Callithrix jacchus: one gene and its partners. The protein of the gene in region 4 interacts with the protein of the main gene of each other region in a pairwise test. Links are inferred from orthologs where the notes say so. Each region holds a gene or a part of one and is shown on either strand. Other genes may lie near its edges.

The links.
Region 1: the proteins of NT5C2 (region 4) and FXR2 interact in binary tests that used the Homo sapiens proteins (3 or more experiments, as listed by UniProt). The two-hybrid records come from large-scale screens. The link is inferred for Callithrix jacchus from reciprocal best matches to the Homo sapiens genes NT5C2 and FXR2.
Region 2: the proteins of NT5C2 (region 4) and NUDT18 interact in binary tests that used the Homo sapiens proteins (3 or more experiments, as listed by UniProt). The two-hybrid records come from large-scale screens. The link is inferred for Callithrix jacchus from reciprocal best matches to the Homo sapiens genes NT5C2 and NUDT18.
Region 3: the proteins of NT5C2 (region 4) and NME7 interact in binary tests that used the Homo sapiens proteins (3 or more experiments, as listed by UniProt). The two-hybrid records come from large-scale screens. The link is inferred for Callithrix jacchus from reciprocal best matches to the Homo sapiens genes NT5C2 and NME7.
Region 5: the proteins of NT5C2 (region 4) and MOB3B interact in binary tests that used the Homo sapiens proteins (3 or more experiments, as listed by UniProt). The two-hybrid records come from large-scale screens. The link is inferred for Callithrix jacchus from reciprocal best matches to the Homo sapiens genes NT5C2 and MOB3B.

Annotation. Positions count from the first base shown.
Region 1 is NC_133506.1:74,085,285-74,087,818, forward strand, and holds the end of FXR2 (RNA-binding protein FXR2), read right to left. Parts: coding exon 2,432-2,534; intron 2,338-2,431; coding exon 2,242-2,337; intron 2,054-2,241; coding exon 1,953-2,053; intron 1,317-1,952; coding exon 1,221-1,316; 3' UTR 623-1,220; downstream 1-622. UniProt on the Homo sapiens protein: mRNA-binding protein that acts as a regulator of mRNAs translation and/or stability, and which is required for adult hippocampal neurogenesis. Specifically binds to AU-rich elements (AREs) in the 3'-UTR of target mRNAs.
Region 2 is NC_133514.1:19,378,486-19,382,922, forward strand, and holds NUDT18 (8-oxo-dGDP phosphatase NUDT18), read left to right. Parts: upstream 1-1,381; 5' UTR 1,382-1,487; coding exon 1,488-1,649; intron 1,650-2,413; coding exon 2,414-2,627; intron 2,628-2,855; coding exon 2,856-3,451; 3' UTR 3,452-3,876; downstream 3,877-4,437. UniProt on the Homo sapiens protein: Mediates the hydrolysis of oxidized nucleoside diphosphate derivatives. Hydrolyzes 8-oxo-7,8-dihydroguanine (8-oxo-Gua)-containing deoxyribo- and ribonucleoside diphosphates to the monophosphates. Hydrolyzes 8-oxo-dGDP and 8-oxo-GDP with the same efficiencies.
Region 3 is NC_133519.1:33,168,532-33,172,295, reverse strand, and holds part of NME7 (nucleoside diphosphate kinase homolog 7), read right to left. Parts: intron 1,191-3,764; coding exon 983-1,190; intron 1-982. UniProt on the Homo sapiens protein: Possesses an intrinsic kinase activity. Displays 3'-5' exonuclease activity with a preference for single-stranded DNA. Does not seem to have nucleoside diphosphate kinase activity.
Region 4 is NC_133513.1:96,265,235-96,269,709, forward strand, and holds the start of NT5C2 (cytosolic purine 5'-nucleotidase), read right to left. Parts: upstream 3,026-4,475; 5' UTR 2,969-3,025; exon of another isoform or gene 2,953-2,968; intron 1-2,952. Other genes in the region: INA (alpha-internexin), read left to right, coding at 3,026-4,093. UniProt on the Homo sapiens protein: Broad specificity cytosolic 5'-nucleotidase that catalyzes the dephosphorylation of 6-hydroxypurine nucleoside 5'-monophosphates.
Region 5 is NC_133502.1:134,713,296-134,717,514, forward strand, and holds the start of MOB3B (MOB kinase activator 3B), read right to left. Parts: upstream 2,844-4,219; 5' UTR 2,583-2,843; intron 1-2,582. UniProt on the Homo sapiens protein: Modulates LATS1 expression in the Hippo signaling pathway which plays a pivotal role in organ size control and tumor suppression by restricting proliferation and promoting apoptosis.

The DNA of each region.
Region 1 (2,534 bases), on a different chromosome or scaffold from region 4:
CCTAGATTTCTCTCCACTGCCATTGAATTATGGCAAGTTTTATCTTCGGTCCTCCAAGTCATGAAGGGGCAGCCAGGAAACCCAGGACAACGCCCCCGAGTTGAGAGGTCTGTGGTGTGCATGCTGGAGAAAAAGCTTAGAGCCAGATCAGAACACCAGCAAGGAAAGAAGGCTGGACACCAGGCTTTCAGAGGCTGCTGTGAGGGAACCCTGCTCCCCTCTTGCCAAGGCCCAGCCCAAGCCCCAGGCTTCAGGTAATCGGATTAAGCAGCCTGCCTTGGCTCCCAGCTTCTAGCAGGAACAGCTCCAGCTCTGAGCAGCCCTGCCTAGCCTGTGCCATGACTCAGGGTATAGGAGTGGCCCAACTCCCTCTACCAGCAAACTTGGGGGAGGAGAGAAGCAATAAGGCACAAGACCCCCTCCCCTCTGGACCAGGAGCGAGTACCTGGACCTGGGGAGTTTAAGAATGTCAGAAATTCCCAGAAGACAGACCATCTTTGGGACAAGAGACAATGAGAAATCAGGTATGGAGGAAAAGAAAATGAGCCAGGGGCTAGGGCAGGTCAGTCCTAAAGAAACAGATGGACCAAACTGGGGACAAAGGCGGCACAGGAGCCACAGAGCCATTTGGATTTTTTTATTCTCTTTTTAAATACTGTACAGTGAAAAATAAATACGCCTTCTCATCCACCAGACAAGGTCGGTCCCCTCCCCCTGGGGACCTTGTCACCCCCCTTCATATACACCCCTGGTTCTACTCCAAAACCTTCCCCGTGCCTCCCACCCACTTATCTCTTACTATCCCCGTCTTCCACAGTGATGAGGCCCCAGAAATGGGGGGTACAGGATGGGAGGAGGGATAGCAGGGGAGGCCCCCTGAACGGTCAAATCTGGGTGGGTCAAGGAGCACCCCCCCACCAACAGGTGGAGAATGGGGGTGTTCAGAGAGAGATTGGGGCATTAGAGGATAAAGGCACATCCAGTCTGATGGGGGAGAGAGGCTCCCCTTACCCTGGGGGTAGGGTGGACAAGAGGGAGGGGGTATGACCCTGTTACACACCCCTCCACTAGCTCCTGGAGGTTGGGGGGTACCCAAGCTGCTGTGCCACCCCCCTCCCCCCTAGATAAGAGCAGCTCCAGCGCAGGTCAGTTGGGCCTGTGAGGGCCATGGTGTTGGGCAGCAAGCGAGATGGAGAAGGGAGGGATGCAGGCTGGAGGTTTTATGAAACCCCATTCACCATACTACCCAACTCCAAGGGGGCAGAGAGCTCCCCATTCTCCGAGGGGCCCTTAGGAAGCTTGCTGACAGAGTCACCCTGAGAAGCAAGTGGGAAAGAAAACAAAATCAAGCACACGGTGAGCAGAAACTCAGGTGAGGGACATTTCCTACCATCCAAGCACTCCTGGCATCTGGTGATCCAGAGGTTGGTTCCTTGATCCCATGATCCAGTCTCTCTTACTTGGGATCCAGAAAATGTGAACTACATAATCCTCTCTATCCCATTCGAAGTTGACACTATTCTAAACTCCATCAGACACAACTGCCTCTGCAATTCAGTAACAGATTTCTTTTTTCTTTTGAGACAGAGTTTCGCTCTTGTTGTCCAGGCTGGAGTGCAATGGCGCAATCTCAGCTCACAGCACCCACTGCCTCCCTGGTTCAAGCCATTTTCCTGCCTCATCCTCCCAAGTAGCTGGGATTATAGCCATGCACCACCACACCCAGCTAATTTAGTATTTTTTAGTAGAGACAGGGTTTCTCCATGTTGGTCAGGCTGATCTCGAACTCACACCCTCAGGTGATCCACCCGCCTCAGCCTCCCAAAGTGCTGTGATTACAGGCGTGAGCCACCACCCCCAGCCTCGGTAAATTTCTTTGTGAAATTTTGTGCACCCCCTGCCCCATAATAATAAAAAAAAATGATAGAGTAAACCACATCTTGCCTGCCTACCTTCTGTCCTGAAAGAGAGTCCTCTGAGGGTTTAGTGCGTTCCAGGGGTGGCCGCTGGCGGCTCTGAGACTCTGCTCGTGAGATATAGTCAGCCACAGTCACTAGGGAAGGCAGGACATTAAGACTTTGAGATAGTTTGCCATGAAAATTACAAAAGAAAAAAAAAAGATGGAATTCTGGTAGCCAGCCCAAGATACCCACTGAACCCGAACCCCTGATTTTCACAGGGTAGGAAGTATCCCATTCTCTCAGCTCTGAGGAAGAATTCTGGTGTCCAAAGTTGGCTGACCTGGTTGGCGGTCTCCACTGATAGAACCATCAGTCCGATTACCACGGTTACGGCGGCGGCGGCTGCGATTACGACGTTGGGGTCTTGATTCGTCTTCTGTAGGGTAGGGAAAAACCAGAGTCACACATCCAACCTCCCACCCTCAATTCTTACCCATCTCTAATTTTCCAGATCCCAGGCACACCCTCACCCAGGCCATTCTCTGTCATGTTGGGCCCATCTGATTCCAGGCCTCCATCTATGATGGTCCTGTCTTCATCAGTGCGGCGGCGGCGGGAGCGACGGCGCCTGGC
Region 2 (4,437 bases), on a different chromosome or scaffold from region 4:
CAAGAGCTCAAGACTGCAGCTCCAATCTGGGTAACAGAATGAAACCCTGTCTCTAGGGGGTAACAAAAGGCACATATTATGAGGACGGGCCTTGTGTGTGGTAGCAAGAAGAGCTAGGCCCGAGAGGGACCACCCCTGAGGGTTGGTGGGCTGCCCAGGGGTGGTGCCCAGCACTGGACAATCCACACAGCTCCTCTCTGATTGTCATGCCTTCCCAACACACCTGTAAAACAAGAGTTGTTATGACCCTACTCTACAAATCAGGAAACTGAGGCCCACAGCTCACCCAGGGGCACAGAGCAAGACAGCCAGCAGCGACCAGCCATCTGGCTCCAGGTCTCGAGCTTTGTCCACACCACCAAGCCTGTCTTCCTAGCAGGGAGGTGCAAAAAACCAGCCAAGGAAGAGGAAAGGGGTGGCCTCTGTGGGGTGAGGAGCCAGACGGCCTGCTTCGAAGATCCCTTCCAGCTGGCCTTGACTTCCACTGCTGAAATGCGAGTGAAGGAGGAAAGGTCGGGATGGGAGAGGAGCCGGCGCTCGCCACAACAACCCCCACCCTGCTCTCCATGCGCCAGGTCCTGCACGCTGGGTGGGAGGGTGACGACAAGGATGGAGGAGCAGGGCCCCAGCCCCGCCCTCCCAGGACGCACCGTCTGCAGCGGCGAGGGCCTTGAGCTGCGTGGGAAATGAGGTGGGCAGAGGGCCACTGATGAGGGTGGGCCGGCTGACTGCAGCCCTCTCTCAGCCCCCGACACCTCCCGCCACCCCCGGCCCTGCCCACTCCCTCTTCCAGCGCCGGTCACTCTTCTTGCCCAAGCCAAGCCTTTAGCACTTAGCCTCGAACCGTCAGCTGATTCCTCATCTAGGACTACGCCCATCTCTCCAGCTACAACAGAATATCCTGAAAGGCAGGGGTTTACGTCCCCCACCCCAGGGGCCACATGACATAACTCTTTAGTAGAGTGAGAACAAAGTTATTTGGGATGTGATCAACTCCGGCAATGCCGTAGTGTGTTTACGGCAACAGCGGGACGGTAGGTCCAAGGGGCGGCCCCGGATCTCCGTGACGTCACCTGGCTTGTACGTCACTGTCGCTTGCGCCGGCGGCGAAAAGCACCCTGCATGAGAGATAACTTGACCATCGGAGCCCCTGCGGACCAGTGCGCGCTCAGGCAGTCGGTGAAGGGGGCAGCTGGGAGACGTCCCGAGCGTGCGGGACCGACAGGCGGCAGAAGCCCGGTGGGAGTCCGTGGGGTTCCGGCCGGGAACCCACCCTGCTCCCAAGCGGCCCCGCCCCCTCGGTGACTGTCGCGGGCCGGCCAATCCGGGCAGGCCGCGGCGCCGCGCAGCCTATCAGCGACCAGGGCTTGCGTGCGCTTCCGCGTTCGCGTGCGCGCCCAGGCCCGCCGCCGCCGGATCCCGCACTTGTCCGCGGCTCGGTCCGGCGGGTCAGCCAGGACCCGGGCCGTCGCTTCCCGGGGGACCCGATGGCTTCCGAGGGTATGGCGGGAGTGCTGGCGGCCGTGCTGGCCGGCCAGGGGCTGCGCGTGCAGAGCTGCGACTCGGCGCCGGCCGGGGAGCCACCGGCACCGGTGCGGCTGCGGAAGAACGTGTGCTACGTGGTGCTGGCGGTGTTCCTCAGCGAGCAGGTGAGCGGCCGCCAGCCGGGCCCGCAGGGCCTCGGGAGCGCGCAGCCAGCCCAGGTGGGAACGGAAGACCCAACGGCCACAGCCAGCGCTGCCGCGTGCATGGCGCTGCCCAGTTTTGCAAAGCACTCCCATTCCCACTCGCATCTGTGTCCTGCAGTCGTCCCAATATGGAGAAGAGGAAACTCAGGCCGGGGGCCTGTTCGTCTCACCCCACTAGGCCTCATTCTTTCCCTTCCCAGAGTCTAGCGGAGTGCCCAGGACCCCTCAGATAGCAGTCGCTCAACCCTGGCTTACCTCAGGCCTTTGGTGTGGATCCCCGTACTGGGCAACTAGAAGGGGCCAGGGCCATAGGGCAGGGTTGTACAAGGTGGAGGTCGGGGGTCGTGTTTCAAAGCCAGACCCCAGGGTGAGGATCCATCACAAACAGTTCATAGGCCACGCCGCTGGAGACAAGAGATACCCAATGACATGTACAGACGTAAGTCAATGCAAGACTGACACATGGTGGCCCTCACTCTGGGGCCTCATCTCCAGCCCCTGAAGCAGCTTCCAGGAATCTCAGCCCTTTCTGAAGTGCAAGTTTTCTTAACTCCAGAGAGGGACTAATTGCAGGGAGAAGGTTGCAGCCCCCAGCAACTTGAGGGCAGATCTCCCGCAGCGCTAGCTGGTTTAAGGGCGATCTTGGGCGACTGTGTTTGAGATGCCCCCTGGTCCCTGGGCTGGGGAAGGCTATGGCAGGAAGTGAAGATGCTCTCTCCCCTCAGGATGAGGTGCTACTGGTCCAGGAGGCCAAGAGAGAGTGTCGGGGGTCGTGGTACCTGCCCGCGGGGAGAATGGAGCCTGGGGAGTCCATCGTGGAGGCGCTGCAGCGGGAGGTGAAGGAGGAGGCGGGGCTGCACTGTGAGCCTGAGACACTGCTGTCCGTGGAGGAGCGGGGCCCCTCCTGGGTCCGCTTCGTGTTCCTCGCTCGCCCCACAGGTATGGCCTACCTGGAGGCAGTATGAACAGGGCCAGTTGACATCTTTTCCCCAGCTGCTTGGTGAGGTGAGCCCCTCCACAGCCAGTCCTGTTATGGCACTCTGGCATGGGCAGATTCCAGCCTGCAGGCTGGGGGCCTCTCTCCTGGGTCAGGGATGTCTGTTGAAGCTGCCAACACTGCACTTCTCTCCACACAGACCCTCTGCCCCATCCCCCACATCTCCCCAGGTGGAATTCTCAAGACTTCCAAGGAGGCTGATGCAGAGTCCCTGCAGGCTGCCTGGTACCCACGGACCTCCCTGCCCACTCCACTGCGAGCCCATGACATCCTGCACCTGGTTGAGCTCGCTGCCCAGTATCGCCAGCAAGCCAGGCACCCTCTCATTCTGCCCCAAGAGCTGCCCTGTGATCTGGTCTGCCAGCGGCTTGTGGCCACCTTTACCAGTGCGCAGACAGTGTGGGTGTTGGTTGGCACAGTGGGGATGCCTCACTTGCCTGTCACTGCCTGTGGCCTCGCCCCTTCGGAGCAGAGGGGTGGCATGAAGATGGCTGTCCTGCGGCTGCTGCAGGAGTGTCTGACCCTGCACCACTTGGTGGTGGAGATCAAGGGGCTGCTTGGGCTGCAGCACCTGGGCCGAGATCACACTGATGGCATCTGTCTGAATGTGCTGGTGACTGTGGCTTTTCGGAGCCCAGGGATCCAGGATGAACCCCCGAAGGTTCGGGGTGAGAACTTCATTTGGTGGAAGGTGACGGAGGAAGGCCTGCAAAGCCAGCTCCTTCAGCGGCTTCAGGGATCCTCTGTTGTCCCAGTGAACAGATAGGGCGGGGGAGGAGGTGACGAGGAGCTGGGCGGCTGTGCTCCCTCCAGTGTGGCCTTGTCTCCCTCTGAGGGAGGCAGGAGGCTGGCGACCAGGGATCTTGTTGCATTGGGAGCAGGGGTGCTTTCCTGGTCCCCAGAAGAGATGCTTTGAGGAGCTTTCCTCTAGATCGCACAGGGACAGTGCCTTTAACCAAGCAAGGAATCCAAAGCTCAGGACCTGGCCACTCTTCGGGCACACTGGCACTTCTCCCCGGGGGTTGGGAGCTTTCTGCACTCCCAGTGGTGTCTTGTCATCACAGTTTGTGTTTTCCTTGGGAAAGGCCTGCATCCTGATCCCTCCAGGCCCTTAGAGCTGGGAGGGGCCCTGGGGAAGGTCTCCTGAGGGAGGAGCCCTTGCTCAGTAAAGAGGTGTTGCTTACCTTGCCTCCCTGCCTAGATGTCTCTGTGGGGACAAAGTGATGTGGACTGCGTCCAAGAGCTGCTCCTCCCCTTGTGCCACCGACAGCCACCTATGTCTTTCCCAGTGCACTGACAATGCGGGCCAGCCTGCTGTCCAGGCTGGGCTGCTGGCCTGGGATGTGACTCTTGAGGGGACCCATCCCTCATGAAACACAGCTTGAGTCCTCCAAGGGTTGGGTAGTGGGTGACCCTGGGGGAGGTTCACGTGGGACAGGAGAGAGCGCTGCCTCAGCTTTCTCCTTGAGCCTCCCTGGTGTGGACCCCTCCCACGGCTCTCCTGCCTCTGCCTTTTCACAACTTCAGCCCACGCCAGACCAAACCTTGTCTTCATTTCCCCTCAGCCTGGCTGAATCACGGTAGGATTTTTTTTATTTTTTAAGTAAGCTCCGGGCATAGTGGCTCATGCCTATAATCCCAGCTCTTTGGGAGGCTGAGGCAGGTGGATCAGTTGAGGTTGGAAGTTCAAGACAAGCCTTACCAACATGGAGAAATCCTGGTTCTACTAAAAATACAAAATGAGGCAAGTGT
Region 3 (3,764 bases), on a different chromosome or scaffold from region 4:
TCAAAGATACAGTTAGAGATATATAGAGGCCAGACCAGATAGAGCCTTGGAAGCTACAATAAAGACTTCAGATTTTATTCTAGAAGAGACGGAAATTCACTGAAGGGTTTTCAGCAGGTGAATGTTAATCTGATTTGGCTTTAAAATATCACTAGGCATAGTTGATTTTACTTGGGCAAGGTAAAATTTTCATAAATTGAGTGAAGGGAAAGAGGAAAAAAGAATTTGGAGGCTACTGTAGCAGTCCTGGCAAAATATAATAGTGATTTAGATCACAATGGTCAGATTCAGGGTTTATTTTGAAAGTAGAGCTGAAGAGACTTGCGGAAGAAATTGTAAGAAAAAGAAATAAGTCAACTATTATAAAATTGTCTAATATTGTTTCACTGCAAAAAATTAAAAACTATCTTAAGTGAGACACTTCTCACAATGCTAAAAATAAACTTATACTTCATTAATTCAACCTCAGCATAAATCCAATATGATGCTTTATTTATATGGATTTAAAAATAAGGAGCAGTTGTAAAGAAACTTTCATAAATACAAGCCATGTATAGGAAAATAATAGGATGTCAAGCTTGAAAGTACAGTATTAGGTCTGAATCAAAAAGTAGTATCTCAAAATGTGTCTTCTTTTTAACATCTACTAGCCATAAACTGGTATTCTTACATGAATTTGATAATTCAAACATTTAGGAGTCTCAGTAATTTAAGTCTTTGGAACAAGAGACAGGATGAGAAGTGTTTTAATTGGAGAAAAGTTACATTGATTATGATCACCAGTTGACAAAGGAGATATAAACACTGTTTAATACTAGGCAAAATGTCAAAGGTTTTCTCTACTACTAGATCAGGTGCATAAAGAAGGCTACTGTAGCAGTCCTGGCACTATAGCCTAAGTCACCAGTGACAGAAATGCCTTACTTTGATAAAATATGTAACAGAACTAGAAGACAATTAAAATATTTTTAAAACACCTTACTCTGGCAGCAGAAGCAAAAGAATCAGGGCCATGTGCTGCATTTCTTATGCCATCTGTTCCAAAGACGGCTCTAATGCTTCCAGAAGCATCTGTGCATGCCACCCCAGAGTTTGCAGGTCCCAGTAGTCTTTTCCATTCACATATAGCATCATCTCTTAAAATTTCCATGGCAATAATAGGACCAGTTGTAATAAACTGGATCAGCTCACTACAAAACAGATAGAAGATTAGTTTGCTTCTTTCTTCTGTCAACCTAGGTATCTGTCTTAATAAAAGAATATATTTAAATTGGATTTTTTTCAACATAGAAAAGAATATTATACTCTCAGAACCATTGAACATAGTTAATTTCACATGGGCAGGAAACACTTTTCATAAATTGAGTGTCTTCCAGTGGCTCAATTCACTTCAAATCACTAGTAATGTCAAACTACTATTAGCAGAAAAATCACTGTTCTGTTGAATTAAGACTATTTCATTGACTTAACATGCATATTGTTGACCTATGCTTTTCCCAGTGCTCTAACAGGTACAGTGATTTTCCTTTTTATTTTCATGTGTTTACCACTGCTGTCAAGTACAATTTCACAATATGCAAATTGATGAGAGGGATGGATGGCTTGGAACTTATAGTAAGAATTTATTTCTTTTTGTGTAAAACTATTAGAATTCAAAGACTGACAAAGAACTCTCTCAATCAATAAACACTGAGTTGGTTTGGTGATTTAAAAAATCTCAGCACTTTGGGAGGCTGGGGTGGGCAGATCACAAGGTCAGGAGTTAGACACCAGCCAGGCCAATATGGTGAAACCTGGTCTCTTCTAAAAATAAAAAAATTTTTAAAAATTAGCCAGGTGTGGTGGCGGGTGCCTGTAGTCCCAGATACTCCAGAGGCTGAGGCAAGATAATTGCTTGAACCAGGGAGGAGGAGGTTGCAGTGAGCCGAGATTGTGCCACTGCACTCCAGCCTGGGCAAAAGAGTGAGAGTCTGTATCAAAAAACAAAAACAAAAAAATAACAACAGGCTTTAAAAAACCAACAGGCTTCAAGAAATATCCTTTTATTAGTATAAAAAACTACTCTGGGTTATTCCTATATTAAATTATTAGAGCATACACATAAGTTCTTGATTAAAAATCCAGCACTGTGTCACAGTCCCCCAAGATAACAAAAAACAATACCTCATTCTATTTTCCACTTCTATATGTGTACTGGGTGCAATGACAAGTTTAGCTATGAAATAAGTGACATCGTCTTTCTAACTGTGTTAAGCAGGGACAAAGTACTTTTTAGAGTAAGCCCATGTTTTTCTCTCACCCAAAGTACAGAGAAGAGACCCTCCTGGAGAAAGGAACACAGTGTGACAGGCTCATTTGTGCTCACTAACTTATGACTATTTTTTACATACTTCCTTCCACCCAGCACCATGTTATGTAAGTCAGCTCTCCTCAGTACTTCCTTTTTAAATTGCTCCCATTCATTTTGAAGAATATTTCTAAGAAATAGCATGTACAAAGAAGTATTCATGTCTTCTACCCTAAGAGGTCTATAATACCTCCTCATACATTTTCTGCCAGACCTTTGCTGCCAAACAAACAAACAAAACCCCCAAGACCAACCAACAGATTAAAGAAAACCCAAATCAAGGGAGCAAACCATGTTTATTCATTCAACAAGCATTTACTGATTACCTACAACATATCAGCATCTGTGCCATAAAACAAGATCCTTCCTTCAAGACACTTATAATTTAATGCCCTATTAATACAGAATTCTCAAAACACACAAGAGAATAAGCCTATGAAAACTGCATGTAATAACACAGGGAATGATGTGCCTGATCATAGACACTGTCTTATGAAACTCTTTCTAATTACTTCACCTGGTCTTTTGTTACATCGTTCTCATTAACAGGCAACTAGTTAAGTTACTACTTTAAGAAAATTTACTGCGTGCAAATCACATATAAATCATTAAATTAGTTGTAATTCAATGCTATAAACATATACAAAGTTTACACTAAAAGATAATTTCCACCAATATTCTAGAAAATTGTATATAGCTATTCTAACAAGGCTTGGGAATATTTTATAATGCTTGATTTGAAATAATCCAAAGCATAATAATTTTCTTATATAAATTTTTTTTTAAAACCGACTACTCAGTGCAGGATACCAAATAACATGCCTACTGTAGCCATTTGGTTTGGCTAACATACCATTCTTTCTTATTAGAAATGTAAATACTCTGTTATCAGTAACAGTAATACGAGTATATAAAATATTCACTTAAATTTGATTACTTCTCAACCATTTAGAATATATAGATTCAGTGTAACATATATTTCTTATAGGTCAAGGAACAAAATATATATCAAACTATTTAGCTAAAATAGAAAGGTTACATGAACATTGCTTTATGTATATAAGACTACCAAAATATTTGAAAAGTACAACAGGCTACAGTAACCAAAACAGTATGGTTCTGGTACAAAAACAGACACATGGATCACTGGAACACAATAGAGAACCCAGAAATAAAGCCACACATCTACAGCCATCTGAACTTTGACAAAGTCAACAAAAATAATCAATGGGGAAAGGATTCTCTATTAAATAAATGGTACTGGGATAGCTGTCTAGCCATAAGCAGAAGAATGAAACTGGTTCCCTAACTTTAACCATATACAAAACTTCAAGATGGATTAAAGACTTATAAGTAAGACCTCAAACTATAAGAATCTTAGAAGAAAACCTAGGAAACACCATTCTGGACACTGGCC
Region 4 (4,475 bases):
TCTCAGTCCAGTATTCTTTCAATTAAAAATCAATCACAAATCAGCACATGATTTTTTGCTGGCCAAAACTCTACTGAAGCCCACTTAGTCCTATTCTGGCTCCATGGGAAAAAAAATTTTTTTTTTTTGAGATGGGAGTCTTGCTCTTGTTGCCCAGGCTAGAGTGCCATGGCACAATCTCAGCTCACTACAACCTCCACCTTCTGGGTTCAAGTGATTCTCCTGTCTCAGCCTCCAGAGTAGCTGGGATTACAGGCATGCGCCACCACACCTGGCTAATTTTATATATTTAGTAGAGATGGGGTTTCTCCAAATTGATCGTGCTGGTCTCAAACTCCTGACTTCAGGTGATCTCTCCACCTCAGACTCCCAAAGTGTTGGGATTACAGGCATGAGCCATCACGCCTGGCCGTGCTACATAGAAATTAACGTGACTTCAAGAGTCTCACTGCAGGCCGGGTGCAGTGGCTGATGTCTGTAATCCCTGCACTTTGGGAAGCCAAGGCAGGTGGATCACCTGAGGTCAGGAGTTCGAGACCACCCTGGCCAACATGACAAAACCCATCTCTAATAAAAATACAAAAAATTAGCCAGGCATGGTGGCGGGCACCTGTAATCCCAGCTATGCAGAAGGCTGAGGCAGAAGAATAGCTTGAACCCAGGAGGCAGAGGTTGTGGTGAGCTGAGATCATGCCACTGCCCTCCAGCCTAGGCAAGAAGAGCAAAACTCCGTTGTTGTTGTTGTGTGTTTGTTAGTTTGTTTTTAGATGGGGTCTCACTCTGTTGCCCAGGCTGGAGTAGAGTGGAACAATTTTGGCGCACTACAACCTCTACCTCCGAGGTTTGAGCAATTCTCCTGCGTCAGCCTCCCGAGGAGCTGGGATTACAGGTGTGCGCCACCACTCCGGGCTAATTTTTGTATTTTTAATAGAGATGGGGTTTCACCATGTTGGTCAGGCTGGTCTCGAACTCCTGACCTCAAGTAATCTGCCTATCTCGGCCTCCCCAAATGTTGGGATTACAGGCATGAGACACTGTGCCCAGCTCTGTCTCAAAAAAAAAAAAAAAGTCTCACTGCAGAATTATGTAGTAAAGAGAGAATGTATGCTTGTCTTTGCTTGCTGGTGACCTTGTGCTGCATCAGCACCTCAGTGTCTTATCTAATAAGATGGGGGTAAGTGCCACCCTGAAGCACATTCAGAGGAGGTAAACCTATGCAAAAGTGCCAGCACAAGTACTGGCAGACAATCACTATTCAGCAGTATTAGTAATCTTTAATTGTTCACCTCACAAGGTCTTTCTGAGCACAAAGACCTCAGAATTGAGTTCCTCTACCTCAAGGCTTTGGTCTGTGATGAGGAACCAGAGGGACAGGCTGTGACAGGGCCTGACCATTTTCCATGACATTAAGCACAAAGCCAAGAGATATGCTCCAAAGTCTCATAAGATCCCTTTTCACCCTTCCTTTGATGGCCTGTCCCAAGCATATTTCCCTTTCCCCATGAAGTAAAACTTATCCTAGGACTACGTCCTTGAAGATTCCAAGATCAAAAAAAGGCCCTCAGTCTGGAATTCTGGAATATAGCTAAAAAGGTCTTCCTACTCCCTCTCCAAAGCGATATCCACATCCTGAGTGACAACAGAAGCTTAAAAGTCGGTACATACTACAGACCTCACACTGACCCCTCCCAGCCTTCATCCTTTCAGATCCCATTCTTTGATTTCCACCCCCGTTCCCACCAACCCTACTATGTGGTAGAACAGGCCAGCTCAGTCACCAGCACTCTCCCCAACTCTGGAAGTTTAACTTTTTTCAGGGATCTCTTTTCTCCAAAAAGAGATCTCCAGAGTAAGTGGCTCTCCAAAGCCAGATGAGGACCTGCCCTGCTGGATTTACACAGACTGAAATCTCAAATGCCCACATAATCAGAGAGGTAAAGTAAACGAATTAAGAAGGTGGGGGTAATTCAGTGGAGAATGGTAATTCAGTGGAGAATTCACTGTAGTAAACAGGAAAGCACACTTCTTATACAAAGGGCAAGGGCAACTCACCTCTGCCCACTATGGGATCCCACCTCTTCCCGTTTTCAGAAGCCAGAAATTCAATTTCTTTTTAGGTGAAACCTCCTGGTTTGAAAACGCTCCTTTTGAAATGTTTTAAAACATAATGCTCTAAACACAAAAGTCTGCAGCCCCCTTTCCACCAGCTTGTGGTCCTGGCCTGCGCCATGCTTTAGTGCCCTATCGATGAGCCCCAGCAATTCCCAGCGCCTCCTGCTTCTCCAAGTGTGGCCTCTTTTCCTCTCTCTACCTGGGCTTCTCCCCACTCTCCGCAGCTCGGGGTCACTTTCTTTACCGATCTCCCCTCTCTTCTGGGGGAGAGGCGCTTTCCAAGCATCTACCTGCCCAGAACCTCCCAGGAGATGCAGAGGGCCACCTGGAGAGAGGCTCTCTGACTTTTCTCCTTGGGGACCCTGAGCCACCTGAGGGAGGAGCAAGGCCTCGCCCAGCGGGTTCCCACTGCAACTGGGAAAACACGGCCTCGCCCTCAAAACCCAATAAGAGGGTGGGTGTAGGGGACACCTCTCAGAAACCCCTAACCTCCCAGTGGGTTAAAGAAGAAAGAGGAGATAGGGTCACGGGATGCGACAGAGCTGTGTAGTTTCCGGATGGGAAACCTCAGTCGTTTAGGGCACCCCTCCGCTGGAGTCACTTCAGAAGCAGTGGATTCTTGGGGAGAGGCGCCGCGGACAGGAGCGACTCCGACACAGATGGCCCTGACCCCGCGCCCCAGGTCATCGAGCGCGCAGCTGCAGTAGTTGCTGCGCCTCCCCACCCCCGCTCCTGGATGCCCCCCTTCCCTCTCGGGGCCAGGCTCAGAGCAGGAGCTCCGCCCCCAACGCGCCGCCCCAGTCCCAGCGCCTTAAAAGCCAGCGCGCACCGCCCCGCCGCGCCCTGCCTGCCGCACCTCTCCTTTCTTCTGTATCTCCAGCCGAAGCCCACGCCCGGCCCGGATCCCGGCACCATGAGCTTCGGCTCGGAGCACTACCTGTGCTCCTCCTCCTCCTCCTACCGCAAGGTGTTCGGGGACGGCTCCCGCCTGTCCGCGCGCCTCGCCGGGGCCGGCGGCGCTGGCGGCTTCCGCTCGCAGTCCCTGTCCCGCAGCAATGTGGCCTCCTCGACCGCCTGCTCCTCGGCTTCGTCGCTCGGCCTCGGCCTGGCCTATCGCCGGCCGCCGGCATCCGACGGGCTGGACCTGAGCCAGGCGGCGGCACGCACCAACGAGTACAAGATCATCCGCACCAACGAGAAGGAGCAGCTGCAGGGACTCAACGACCGCTTCGCAGTGTTCATCGAGAAGGTTCATCAGCTGGAGACGCAGAACCGCGCGCTGGAGGCCGAGCTGGCTGCGCTGCGGCAGCGCCACGCCGAGCCGTCGCGCGTCGGCGAGCTCTTCCAGCGCGAGCTGCGCGACCTGCGCGCGCAGCTGGAGGAGGCGAGCTCGGCGCGCGCGCAGGCCCTGCTGGAGCGCGACGGGCTGGCCGAGGAGGTGCAGCGGCTGCGGGCGCGCTGCGAGGAGGAGAGCCGCGGTCGCGAAGGTGCCGAGCGCGCCCTGAAGGCGCAGCAGCGCGACGTGGACGGCGCCACGCTGGCCCGCCTGGACCTGGAGAAGAAGGTGGAGTCGCTGCTAGACGAGCTGGCCTTCGTGCGCCAGGTGCACGACGAGGAGGTAGCCGAGCTGCTGGCCACGCTGCAGGCGTCGTCACAGGCCGCGGCCGAGGTGGACGTGGCTGTGGCTAAACCAGACCTGAGCTCGGCGCTGAGGGAGATCCGCGCCCAATATGAGTCCCTGGCTGCTAAGAACCTGCAGTCCGCGGAGGAATGGTACAAGTCCAAGTTCGCCAACCTGAACGAGCAGGCGGCGCGCAGCACCGAGGCCATCCGAGCCAGCCGCGAGGAGATCCACGAGTACCGGCGCCAGCTGCAGGCGCGCACCATCGAGATCGAGGGCCTGCGCGGGGCCAATGAGTCCTTGGAGAGGCAGATCCTGGAACTGGAGGAGCGGCACAATGCCGAGGTGGCTGGCTACCAGGTAAGGGCTGGGGCTGGGTGTGGGAAGGGTTGCCCTCACCTCTCCCGCGCGTTCCCGCTTCCTCTGGTAAAACTGGGCCCTAGGACTTAAGGGGAGGGCAAAAGAGAGAAGAGAAGAGCCCCGGCCGGAGGCGCTGGTAAACAAAAAGCCCTGGAGTCTTTACTAACTTTAGGGAACGCCCCTCATTTATGTTCCTGCCCCAGCCCTTCAAACAAAGAAGCCCTTAAACTTCTTTGAGGTTCGAAAACCTAACTATGCATGTCTGTCAGCAAGCGGGTATACACACACCGGTGGTCCGGAGAACACTGTCCCACCCAAAGTAGGACTGACCTTAAAGGGGCGGGTTACATGGGCGGTGCTGTCTCGGCTATCTGGCTTGTTT
Region 5 (4,219 bases), on a different chromosome or scaffold from region 4:
GTGAGCTAGGTATCATGTCTTCAGAAATTGATTCCAAGTAGATAAGATTGTTCACTGGAACCTTGTTTATAATATCTCCCCCTTTTATATTCATTTTCACCTATCAATATTTTTTATTTTTCCCAGAATGGTTTTTTTTGGGGGAAGTTTTTAATTCTAACAGAAACTGTACAAACTTAGCTTCCACTATTTTTCTTAGTGGGATAGACCAGTGGGGTAGACAGTAGTGCCCTGTTTTTCTTACTGGGCTAGACCAGTGATGCCTTTGGGTACTTCTTGAGTAACTTTGGTCATTTTTGTTGCTTCTGGGTTGCTGCTGTTGCTAAATTTCAAAGGACTCCTTGGGGATAATTTTCATAATGAAATTCTTGTAAAGTACCTTTCAGTACTTCAAAAATGTTGTTTTCTGTTGCTGGTTCCACCGTTGGTAAGGTAAAGAGACATAGTACCCAGAAATCACTCGAGAAAGTGCTCTGTGTGTCACATTCCCGGCTTAGCTGTCTCGCTTCTTTTTTGTTAAATGGAAACGCAAAAGTTCTGTTAAGTTGGCAAAGGGAAAACTCTCAGAACTGCAGACCAAGCACCTGGTATCCACTGACAACGTCTGAGTGGGTACATAGATCATAAGTGTTCCACATAAGCCTCTTCCCCTGGGTTGAAGAGGAATCGAAAGTGTAATTGAGCTTCCTTGGAAGAGGGGCTGGCTGGGGATCCCACGGGAAAAGCCGGCAACAGCAGGTCAACTGCAAGGCTATGGGGAGGTATAGGTTCCAACAGGTGCACAGTCTCAGTCGGCCTCCCCTCAGAGGCAACACAAGTCGCTGGGCACCATCTGGCGACCCTGCCTTCTCGAATGGTTACACTGCTTTTGCCCTAGTTCTTTAATCAATAATCCACTCACTAAGAATGAACACAAAGTGTAAGCATCTAACTTGCGCAGGGAAACAGGGCAGCCTGCAACCCAACAGGCGCACGCTCAGGGGAACTCGGGGCCATCCTAAGCCACTTGTTCACTGGGACGTGGAAGCGGGAACAGTGCTCTGGCCGTACCTGCGTTGTGTCCTCAGTCCTCTTTTTCTACAATGCAGGAAGGGGACTTGGGATTTAAACTTCGAGTGGTACTCAAAGCCAGAAATCCACGTTCATTCCGGAGTGAGCCACCACACCACTATTTCCCGGCAATGTCATGAGGCTTCCTCATTATTTGCATCTAGGTTCTCTTTTTGGCGACTAGCCTGCCCTCCCGCCGTTGGAAACTCATGGACCCCAGAATCTCGGCTTTCCGCCTACCAGAGGTGCCCTGATCCCCTCCCACTGCCCTGGGAGCAGCCCAACCCCAACGCCTTTAGCTAGAGATTGAAATCCTCTGGAACCAACCACAGGACACTCTGGATTGAGGCGGAACCCGCTACCACTGTGTCGAAAGCAGCACCCTTCTAGGATTTGCGCCCTTTGCGGCGCGCCTGGGCTGAGATCTGAGAAATGCGCCCCGGGCCACAGGCAGCCGCGGAGGCGGGGAAGAAACAACTTTCCCTCCGCCCTCTAACCGCAAGGACCGGGTGGGGCGGCCTCGCGGGGTCCGGCTCCTCCGCTTTCCCAGCTGGGATCCCCTGCCGGAGCTGGCGTGGGGGCCGACGAGGGGGACCAGAGGGGCTGCCTTCTCTCCCCAGGCCCCACCAGATGTTGGAAAGGCAAACAATAGGGGAAACACGGAGAAACAAAAGGCCATTTGCCACGATCCCAGTCGACAGTGCCGCAAGGTCCCTGCCGGGAGGGTCAGCAGAGAGGGTCGGGAAAGAAGGCAAGGGGGCTCCCTAGAGATTTAGGGTCTCTGGTACTTGCCAGGCGCCAGGGGTCGGCGCTTTACCCTCCCTGCAGTGGTCTGAAGGTGGGAAGGGGCAATCAAAGAAAAGTTTAAGGATTTTCGCCTTCTTCCCCAGTTCAAGGAAAGGGAGGGGCTGGGATTCCAGATGTTTGACAGTTGTTGGCCCCAAAGTTAAGCGCGATTTGTACGGCCTTTCTACGCTCCCCACCTCCATGAGGCATCAACAGCCCCGGGGGCGACCCGGCAGACCTCGCGGAGTTCCGACGCTGCCTCGAGCTGAGACTCCTCCCTCAGGATCAGGACGCCCAAGCGTGGTCCCCAGCCCGGGCGCACTTGTGTAAAGTTTGTCTTCCCGCCACCCCACAGCCCAACACGCACCCGGCAGGCGTCCGCGGCTAGGGATGGGCTCGGAGACAGACGCACCCTGAAAGGAGGACGATCTTATTGATTTATATGTTTTCAAATCACGGCCACGGATCCCGGGGTGGAAAGTGGGCGACCCTGGTTCCTGCCGGGAAGTGCGCACGAGAAGCCGGCCCGAAGCCCCGACGCAGGCAGGGGTCCGAAGCGGACTCCAGTCCCGGAAGCCCGCGGCCGGCCGGCAGGGGACAGGTCCGCCGCCTCCCGCACCCTCCCGCACCCTCCCGCACCCGCGCCCAGGTGCGCCCCGCACCTCGCTGCCCGCCCGGCGGAGATCCCGAGCGAGTAGCCACCGGGCTGCGCCGCCTCCCCTCGCTCGGAGAGGGTTCTTACTCACCGTGGCGTTTTACCGCCAGCCCAGGGCCCGGTAGGCTCCCTTCGCCGGGTCAGCGGCAGCCAGCGCGAGAGGAAAAGGGTGAGCTCGAGGCAGGAGGGGCGTCGCTTGCCAGTCCACGCGAGGGACTCTGCGGCCGGTGCGCGCGGTCCCAGCGAGCCAACCGGCGGACGGGCGAGCGCCTGGCTCCAGCTGCAGCCGCCGCCGCTCCGGAGCAGCCCCCACAGGCACCCAGCGCGCCGCGCAGCCGGCCGGGGCTCGACTGTCTCGCGGGGTCTCCGAACGGGGACCTCTGGCGGCCGCCTGTGGAATGGCAGCTCCGTGGGGAGAAAAGTTGTCTTTGGGATCATCGTAAGGGATGGGAAATGACCGGTCTAAGGGGGCTCCCAGCCCTGCGGAAAAGACACTGACCCTCCTGCCAGGGCAGGGAAGAAGGTGTCGGATCAGAAAGGATGCGCTCTGCGTCCACAACGGTCACTTCCAAGGCACCTACAGAAGGGGAAACGGTGTGCCTTCGTCAGGATTTTCTGATTCTTGAAAAATATCATGAACTACCTGGCATAGAGCAGAGCATTAATCATTGGCAAATACTCAAATTCTAGCAGATTTACTAGAACACACAGAGAGTCACGGACGAACATGGATTTTAAAGCCCAACCCACAGCCTGCCACTCTCTATTTGTGTGGTCTTGGTCTATCTACAACCTTAAAGCCTCAGTATTCTCCGTAAATTGGCGGGGAGCAGTATCTACCTTGCAGGGTGATGGCTACGGGTATACTACATACAAAACGTTTTTTAGTTTATAGTAAGAGTTATCAAATACGAGCTTCCTGCCTTCTGTAGAAAAGGAATGGGATCGTTCACATTTTTCTATTCCCCATATGATCACATCTTAATGCATATCGAATGACAAGGTACTGCATTCCAGCATTCTTACACACCCTTCAAAGAGGTATGGAACTATACTAAGGAGAAATTAGGATACAAAGAGAAAGCATCCCTCCTCTAAAAGAGGTTTCTGCAGCCAACTACGAAATGAGACCTAAAATCACACACATTTCTTGCCATATCAAGTCATCTCAGATATTGTAAGAAATGTTTCATAAATAGTCATGACTTAATGATATTAACCCTGGATTAAATGACTCTAATTCTATGTTATTGTGTAATATAAAGATATCGATTGTGAATATAAGACTCAAACATGAGAAAATTGCCAGATACAAAAACACAGCCACTAAGCAATATTTCTGTTCATCACCAAGGAATCTCACTTCCAGAGTGCCCCAGTTTTTAACAGATGAACTTTAGAGTCAGACAGGCCCATGGTAGCTGAGTCTAACCTTTCTGAATCTCTGTTATCTCATCTTATAAAATGAGGATAATATAGGTAGCTGTCATTCAATGAAGGAATGCATACAACATGCTTAGCATAACACCTGTCACATGGTAAGTGTTCCAAGGTCACCACCTATGGTTCTTTCCAGCATATAGTTCTCATGCCACCCACGTGTAGCCCCTCCCTCATGAGTTTAAGAGACCCCAGCAGGTGTTATACACTCACACACACACAGGCTTCAGTGTCCCTTAAGGTGTTATTTGTTACCTTCTGGAATTAGGGACAGAAAGAGAATATTTT